Canis lupus familiaris: one gene and its partner. The protein of the gene in region 1 purifies or fractionates together with the protein of each later gene. This does not show direct contact. Links are inferred from orthologs where the notes say so. Each region holds a gene or a part of one and is shown on either strand. Other genes may lie near its edges.

Region 1 (3,915 bases):
GGGAGGAGCCTGCATTAGAGCAGGGCCTCACCTGTTCTGGTCTCCTCAATGAACCTCAACTTCTGCCCTCCTCAGGTAGGCGGGAGCCCCAGGGAAAGGCGTCTCCTAAGAGCTGGCCATGGTGCCAGCCTGGGTGTCACCCTTGGCCTGTCTCCTGCAGATGGGTCAACCAGTGGCCTTGGGGTCCCACTGGCCCTTTGGGGCCAGGCCTCATCGCTTTGATGAGGGCCCTTGCTCTGACTCTGAACAGCCTGAGCTGTCAGCTGTCGTTTAGGCTGAAGACCCCTTTCTCTACTTGTATTTAGAGGTGGACGCTGGGATTCGGTCCCTGATGAGTCCACCTCCGGTCACTGTTAGCCACTGTTTTTGCCCTCTCTCTGCTGTCCCTTGGCCACCTGGTAAAGAAAAAGGGCAGAAGGGAGATATTTTGGGTTTGGGGAACAGCTTGAGCAGATGTGCAGGGATGGGAAAGGGGGGTCTGTTCTGGGCCAGGACAGTCCTACAGCATGCGGCGGCCCCTGCCTTTCCAGCTTTGTCACCTACGTGGACTTCCACCCCAGTGGCACGTGCATCGCCGCTGCCAGCATGGACAACACAGTGAAGGTGTGGGACGTGCGGACGCACCGCCTCTTGCAGCACTACCAGCGTGAGTGTCCCTGAGCAGCCACAGCATGACGGTGCGGAACCTGGCGTCAGGCTTGTGGCCATCATGCTGAAGCAGGCCTGAGGACGGCCCTGGTCAGTGGGGAGGAGTCCTGGGCCCATTGGGATCTCCAGGGGTCAACTCAGGTTGGAGACCAGAATCAGGAAGCAGCCCTGGGGCCATGTCCCCTGAGAATTATAGCCCTCAGAGGTGCAGAACAGCGAGCAGTCAACATAGGCCATCTTAGGCTCCTGCTGGGAGGTAGGGTAGGGACGGACCGGGTGTGATTAGGGTGAGCTGGAAGGTGCTGGAGTGTGGAACTTGAGAGCAGGTGTGACTGGGCAGGGCTGTGAGTCACCTTGGCCGTGGGGATGGGGAAGGGAAGGGAGGTGGTGATCTGCCACAGGAGGAACTAGGAGTGGGGCCAGGGGCAATATGGTGGGCAGGCCTGTGGGCCTGGGGCTAAGACCAGGTTGGGGTAGAGCTGGAGTTGTTGGAAAAACTGTGGTTATTGTCTTGGGACAAGATTTAAAGTCCATGGGCTACATCCAGAATTCACCCCTGAAATGGAAAGGATGCGTCTGGACAAAGGTGTTGGGCTTGGGGTTCAGCTTTCCCTTGCATCCCCTCCTAGCTGATTCTCAGCTGTTGAGGACAGCACTTCCTTGAGGTAACTGAGGCTAGCAGACCTCCCATGTTGAGGGAGAGGCTCTTGGTCTTAAAAAGCATTTGGCGGAGGGTGGGCTTTGCAACCAGCCTCAGTATTTGGAGTTGTGGGACGTTGGGCAGGGCATTTGACTCCTTTGGGCCCCCTGGGACAGTGATAGGGCCTCCTTCACAGGTGGTGTTGGGAGGGTAATGAGTTAGTCTCTGCCAAGAACTTAGAGAGTGCCAGGCACAAAACAGGAACCAAGTAAGGGGTTCAGATGCCCGTGTTGCCAAGTCTGGGTCCGGAGATCCTGGAGTAGGGAGTCTGGCCTGCATTGCCCTACACCACCACCAGGTGGCAGAGGCTAGCCACTCTTCCTTAACAGAAAGCCCTGGGGCTTGTCGTAGCTGCAGCTGTTGCAGACAGACCTTCTAGAACAGAGTAGCTATGGGGTCTACCCTCTACTTGGAAACCACAGCTTTCCTTCCCTCCTTCAGGCTTAGAGGCCTCTCTTCTCTGGGCCAGGCCTGGGTTGGAGTTGGCGCACATCTGCAGCGGTTGACTGGGGGAGGGTTGGCAGGTATGGAGGAGTGCCGGGGCGGGAAGGTGCCTCTGAGTGTGGGGTCAGGAGTATTGGGAGGGGGAGGTGACGAGGCCAGGCAGGTTAGGAGTATAGGCTGTTTCCTGTCTGTAAAGGGTGATAATAGTACCTCATGGGATTTGTGAAGATGTGTTGGGGGAGTCTACATGATGATTATAATACAGTACTAGAAATGTGGTTAGTACCACATAAATCTTTCTCTTCTAATTTGTATTATTATTATTATTTTTTTCATCACATAAGTCTTGACACTGAGGGGAGAGGATCTCTAGGTGGCCATGGGAGAGTCCAGCCTCACCTCTGATGGATCAGGAGCATGGGTCTGGGTTTGTGGCATGCACCAGTAGGAACCCATTGGGGAGGGCGTTGAATGCCATACTCTGGCCCATGGTCCAAAAGATGCAGCCTGGCTGGCAGTGCTGGGACTGGTCCCATTGCTCGAAGAGCAAAGGTATGTCTGAAAGGACATACAGAGCCTGCCTGGGTGGGAAACTGGTGTGCTTGGGCGACTGGTGGGTGGGCTACTTATGCCCCATGTCTGAGTGAGAGGAGGGCATCCAAGTAGGGCAGGGATCAGGTCCAAGGGTTAGGTTTTGGAGATTGAGAGAGTCAGTAGGTGACATTACGGGTTGAGGGTCCCGCTGGGCCCAGAAATCTGGGCCTTGAGAAGGGCTGAGGCCATATCATGGGTCCCTATGATTGAGGGGCCATGGAGGGAAAGGTCTACAAAGCAGCCAGAGTGAAGGATGGAAAAGGGCTGAGAGGGCAGGACCAGAGGCATAAAGAAAAGCAGAGTCTCCTGAAGAGGGTGATCAGGAGGTAGAGTGATACAGAGCAGTTGAGAAGGGTGGCAGGTGCTGGAGAGAGGTCCCTGGAGTTCTTGAGGGGGCAGGCTTGGCAGTGGGTGGGCCGGGGAGTCAGTGACTGGAGGGGCTGGGGATGTGGTGAGGGGGCTCAGGTGGCATCAGGAGCCAAATCCTGAGAGGACCCGGGGTACATGAGGCTTACAGGCTCTCTGCAGAGAGATTTCAGTGTGTTTTTGCTATTGTCCTTTGCTCTTATGACAGACCTACTCTGTCTTGTTCCTAAGCCACCTGAATACATATCAGAGGCCTTGAGTGGCTTGGAGTACCCTGTAAACAACTGAGTTTCCTTAGCTCCCTGCCCAATACATGGTGCACAGGGCAGCAAACTCATCCCACTGCCTCTAAACTCACCCTCTGGAGCTCAAGGAGAGCCACGTGGATCTGAGGATGCTGTTGGGGGACATACCCCTCACACTTTATGCTGTTTGAGGGACCTGGCCAGGTCTGCTCAGGTCTACTGGCACCTCTTAGGAGCTGCGTGGCCGAACCTTCGACCTTAGAGGCTCTCACTAGCCCCTTAGTAGCAGCTGCTCTCTCATCCTCAGGGGTACAGGGGCATCTCTTTGGAGGCTGATTCTCCAGAAGGACTCCTGGCACTCTGACAGCAGACACGAGCTGAGCTGTTTTTCACCCCTGATCCTTAGGAAACCCAGAGGAAAGTTTTTAAGAACACAGACATCCCCTATCTCCCTTGGTGACTCTGGATGAGTACCAGGCACTCCTGGTGGGCCTTGGGCACATGAGGTTGTTGGGCTTTTCCAAGACCTTTTGATTCTTGATGCTACAGTGTGTGGTCAGCATTCCCAGCCCGCCTGTGTCCAGCTGCCCCAGGGTTGTGCCTCGTGGAGGATACTTCCTGTCCCGTGCTGGGTTGTTGGAAGTTAATTTGGGCAACAGCAGGCAGCTGGTACCGTTTGTCTCAGGCAAGGAGTTTCTTGGCTCTGGTCTGTCACTGTGGGGAGCAATTCTGGTTTCCCAATTCAGCAAGGAGATGGTGGGGCTGTTGGAGCCCTGGGAGTGCCGGTCCCCACGGAGGTGGGTTAGGCTCCATATGCTCTGAGCCCACAGTAAGGCTGTTCACACATCTGAGCAGCAACCCCCATCCGGAACCCATAATGTGGTTTGCAGCTTACAGGCACGTGCAGGTCCGCTATCT
Region 2 (4,713 bases), on another chromosome or scaffold:
CTGTATAATAAAATACCATAGACTCTGTGACTTCAACAGCATAAACTTAATTTCTCAGCTCAGGAGGCTGGAAGTCCAAGATCGAGGTGTTTGCTTTCTCCCACGTCCTCTCTTTGTCTTGTGGAAGGCTGCTACCCATGGCCTTTCCTCTGTGTACCTATGATTTCCTAGGGATCTCTCCCTCTTCTTGTAAGGACACTCTTTCATATGGGATTAGGGCCCCACATGCTTATGAATTAATTTCACCTTAATTACCTCTTTAAATGGCTCTTGGTCCAAAACGTCACATTGGGGGCTTCAACATATGAATTTCGGGGAACACAATTCCATCCAGATCAGAAGCCTAAAGAAAAAAAAAGTGTGTCTAGAAGAAGGGGCAAACTGTGTCAAATGCTGCTGAGAAGCTGAGGAAGATAATGGGGCATCCGGGTGGCTCAGTGGTTGAGTGTCTGTCTGTCTTTGGCTCAGGTGGTGATCCCTAGGTCCTGGGATCCAGTCCCACGTCAGGCTCCCCACAGGGAGCCTGATTCTCCCTCTACCTCTCTCTCTCTGTGTCTCTCATGAGTAAATAAATAAAATCTTAAGAAAAAAAAAAGAAGTTGAGGAAGATAATTGTGGTTCATGCGCTTTGGCATAAAAAAGTCATTGTACCCTTTGCTAGAGTCTTTTCAGAAAAGGAAAGATGTTAGGTAACAAAGTGGAGACATGTAATCTTTTCAAGTTTTGCTGTGAGAACTGAAAACCGGCGTGGTAGGAGGAGAAAAGCAGGGGTCACAGAATAATAAAAAAAGAAATAAGGGACATTAGAACAGCTTTGCAAATTGAAGGGAATGATCCAGAAGAAAGAAATCTGTGATGTAGGAAATTAAAAAAAGGATAAGGGGCGTGTCCCTGGGTGGCTCAGCGGTTTGGCGCTGCCTTCAGCCTAGGGTGTGATCCTGGAATCCCGGAATCGGGTCCCACATCGTGCTCCCTGCATGGGGCCTGCTTCTCCTTCTGCCTGTGTCTCTGCAGCTCTGTGTGTCTCTCATGGATAAATAAATATTTAAAAAAAAAAAGGATAATAACGAGGCTAGAATCCCTGAAAAGACTAAGATGATGAAATTCACTGCAAAAGTGGAGGGGTTGGCCATCTTTAGATGGCTGGGTTGTGTCCCCCACTAACGGGAGTGAAGGTGGAATACAGCAACCATTATGTAATTTGCAGAGCCCAGTACAAAACGTGCTGTTTCTTGTTCAAAAATTTAGATTTTCAGGACTGCATCAGAAGAACATTAAAGCCAAGCACGGAGCCCTTCCAAGACGGACGCCCGCGCGACCGTACGGTTTGTAATCCCACGAAGCTGGTTCTGGCGAGTATGCTGTGACGACGGAGGTAGGCTGTCCTTTGGGCCAGCCCCGGCTCCCTTCTGGGCCTGCACTGCCTCATGGTAGCGCTGGAGAAGAAGACGAGGGACACGTTCAGCCCCGCCCTTCTACAGGCTGGTAAGTCACTCTCAAGGAGGAGGCGCAGAGTTTGTCCCTTTTTAACTTCGAACCCGCCAGATTTGTAGCTCAGGGTTTTCTGGAAGGCTCCAAAGCATCTGGTGACCATAGCAACTCACGCCAAACTCCGGATCCCTTAGCTCCGCCCACCGCTTCCTGAACGGGTCCGTCGATTGGCTCAGCGGGCGGACCAATCGTGGGAGACGCGGGCTGTTTGCCGCGCGGTCAATGGTCGCGGGCCAGGAGGGAGGCGGGAAGAGAGGGCGGGAGGGCGGGACCGGCCGCGCGGCGCGTGCGTGTTTCCGGCTCCGCTGCGGAAGGCGGACGGCTGGAGCGGTTGGGCCGGACGCGACTCTAAGGAGCCGGGAGAACGCGGGACGCGAGCGCGGAGCTGGGCCCTCGGAGTGTGGCGAGAGGCCGGCGCGATGGGCGGAGAGCAGGAGGAGGAGCGGTTCGACGGCATGTTGCTGGCCATGGCGCAGCAGCACGAGGGCGGCGTGCAGGAGGTAACGGCCCGCGCGGCGTCGGCCTGGCCTGCTCCTACGGCGCTCGCCCGCCCGCGCGGCGCTGGCACGCTCCCTCCGCTTCCCTACCCTCGGGGGCCGAGATCCACCTCTGGGCCTCGCGGGTTCCTGGGATCCGCCTCCATCTCTGCGCGCCCCCAGCTTCCGGTCTGGCCTCCCCGCCGCCCTTAAGGCCTCAGTCGTTTCTGTGCTGGGCCCCCCGGCGCCACTCAGGAGTTCCTGTCTTAGCAACTCCTGCGTCTCCGAACGCGGCCCTGGAAAACCCGCAGCGCCCCCCTTATCCCGTCCCCCCCGCTCTCACACATGCTTCCGGCCTCGTATCCCTACTGATGGCCGCCCCCGAAGAGCAGTTCTTAGGATGAACCATCCCAGACTTTGGCATTTGCATCTACCAAGACCTGGACCGAGCTGACGAATGCTTGTGGGGGGGTGCGGGGGTGGGGCGGGGCGGAGTGATGTTAACACGTGGTCCTTTCAGGCCTAGAATGGGGAATAGGAAGCCTGGGTTCACCATTTATCTCCACCACCTACCAGTAAGGGGCCTTTCCATATCAGCAAGCCTCAGTTCCTTTTGTCTTTGAGGCAGCCACAAGTCTCTTCTGAGTAGTGAGGAGAGTAGTGTCTTGAAGTAAAGGACAGTAAGGAATTCACAATAAGCAGGTTTGTTCATTCAACAAATATTTGTTGAGTGATGTGTGTCAGATGCTCACCGGATTGGGTCCTGGGTGTATATGTGAGCAGAAGTCTATCCTTGCCCTGATGGAGCTTGGAAAGGCCCTTTCAAAAGCACAGTTCATGCGTACTGACCACACATAACACAAAGACGTACTGGTATAGATGCTGGAGTTGGTGTTTTGGACCAAAACCATGGAAAGTTAGAAGTAGAAAAGCCTATCAGGATCAGTTCCAAAACTCTAATTCTGAAGAGAAACTGAAGGAACTTGCCTCAGATCACCCAGCAGGTTCCTGAATTAGGACCAGATTCCTTAGGCCAGTGTGCTGGTTCTGTGTCTCACTGGGAGCAAGTTTTCTTTGAGCTTTCCATTCCCATTCTTTTAGCTGGGCACCGGTGGAGACCAAGGACTCTCAAGCCCTTTGAGGTGGGAAGAGTTACTACTTTGCTTTTGTGTAAAGTTTCCCTCTCCCATCCTCCTAAATTGTTGATCCCAAATAGGATTCGGAGTGAGTTCATTTTTGAATGAATCAAAAAATTATCTAGAAGTAGAAACTCAAACCATGAAGATAAAGTCTAGCATCAGAGTTAGAACCACTCATTTGGGCAAGTAAAAGGGCTTGTATATGCTAACTCTAGAACACCACTAGATCATTTCATTCAGCAGAAGATTTACTGAGCATATACACTGAGCCAGATCTGATGCCAGGCTTTGGGGATGTAGACAGAATAAGCCACAATTCATGGTACCTATGTGTGAATCGTTCACTCTGGCAGGAGGTCTCTTGCTCTGGGCCAGACATTGCTAAGGCCCTCACCTCCATTATCTCATTTAATTCTCACAAGATCCCTAGAAATAGGCTGGCTGCTATTTCTCTTTTAGAGTTAAGAAACTTCCCTAAGGTGACAGCTAATATATTATCAGTCTGATAATCAAACCCATGTGCTTAATTAACCACTTGGATACTTTACTGTACCAGCCAGAGTTAGTTGGTTTTAACCTTTGAAGTGGCTCCCCTCTTTCTGGCTCTGCCCTAGTAACTCAGCCATTGCCAGTCTGGATGGACTTTTCACTGTCTGGAAGGAAAGCTGGGCCTAGGTGTTTTAAGCCCTGGTTGCAGAGGAGTGTTCTGTATCTTTAGGCTGTTTCTAGAGCCACAAGGAATGTGAAACACAGGCACACATACACAGGAGATGGAAATCTGCCTTTCAGGCCACCTAAATCAGGTTAGGTTAGGCCTCCTAGTGGAGGTGACTAAAGTAGAGCCTGCTGGGGAGCCTGTCTTGTCCAATGAGAGGCTTAGGAGGAAACTACCAAGTTTCTGACTCCCTCCTGGACTAGGATCTGGTTTCTGGGCAGCTGAGGGCTCCCTGGGGGCATCTCCACAGCTTCAGTCTTCTCTGTTTTCCAGCTTGTGAACACTTTCTTCAGCTTCCTTCGACGCAAAACAGATTTTTTTGTTGGAGGAGAAGAGGGGATGGCAGAGAAGGTGAGTGTTGGGGCCTGCTGTCCCTTTGGAACCTGTTTCTTCATAAGGAAAGCACATGTAATCTTCCTTTGGCATTATAACAACCTTCAGTAAAAGTAAAATGCCAAGGGTAAAGAGTCAGGGAAAGGAAGCAAGCTGTCATGTATTGAAGCCCCTCTCCTTGCCAGGTACTTTATCTACTCCTATTTCCTGTGATCCTTTAGCAGCTTGAGAAGGCCAGGTGTTACTATTCCCATTTTGCAAATGAAATTGGCTCAAGGGGTGTTTGGCACTTTGTCCAAAGTCCTTTTTTTTTTTTAAGCTTTATTATTTGAGAGAGCGAGAGAGGGCGAGAGCATGTGCATTCATGCATGCACATGAGCTGGGTAGGAAGGGTAGAGGGAAAGGGAGTCTTGAGCAGAATGTGGAGCTTGACTTGACGCCAGGTTTGATCTCACAACCCTGAGATCACAACCTGAGCTGAAACCAAGAGTGGATACTTAACCAACTGTGCCACTCAGGGAGTAGGATTTTGTGTAAGATCTTGAGCTGAATTGTAGAA

What was found.
Region 2: the proteins of POC1A (region 1) and NUDC purify together in Homo sapiens (co-immunoprecipitation; 3 studies listed by BioGRID and IntAct, with this or other methods). This does not show direct contact. The link is inferred for Canis lupus familiaris from reciprocal best matches to the Homo sapiens genes POC1A and NUDC.

What each region holds. Positions count from the first base shown.
Region 1 is NC_049241.1:38,006,408-38,010,322, forward strand, and holds part of POC1A (POC1 centriolar protein homolog A), read left to right. Parts: intron 1-530; coding exon 531-646; intron 647-3,915.
Region 2 is NC_049223.1:72,616,250-72,620,962, reverse strand, and holds the start of NUDC (nuclear migration protein nudC), read left to right. Parts: upstream 1-1,778; 5' UTR 1,779-1,910; coding exon 1,911-1,991; intron 1,992-4,094; coding exon 4,095-4,172; intron 4,173-4,713. UniProt on the Homo sapiens protein: Plays a role in neurogenesis and neuronal migration. Necessary for correct formation of mitotic spindles and chromosome separation during mitosis. Necessary for cytokinesis and cell proliferation.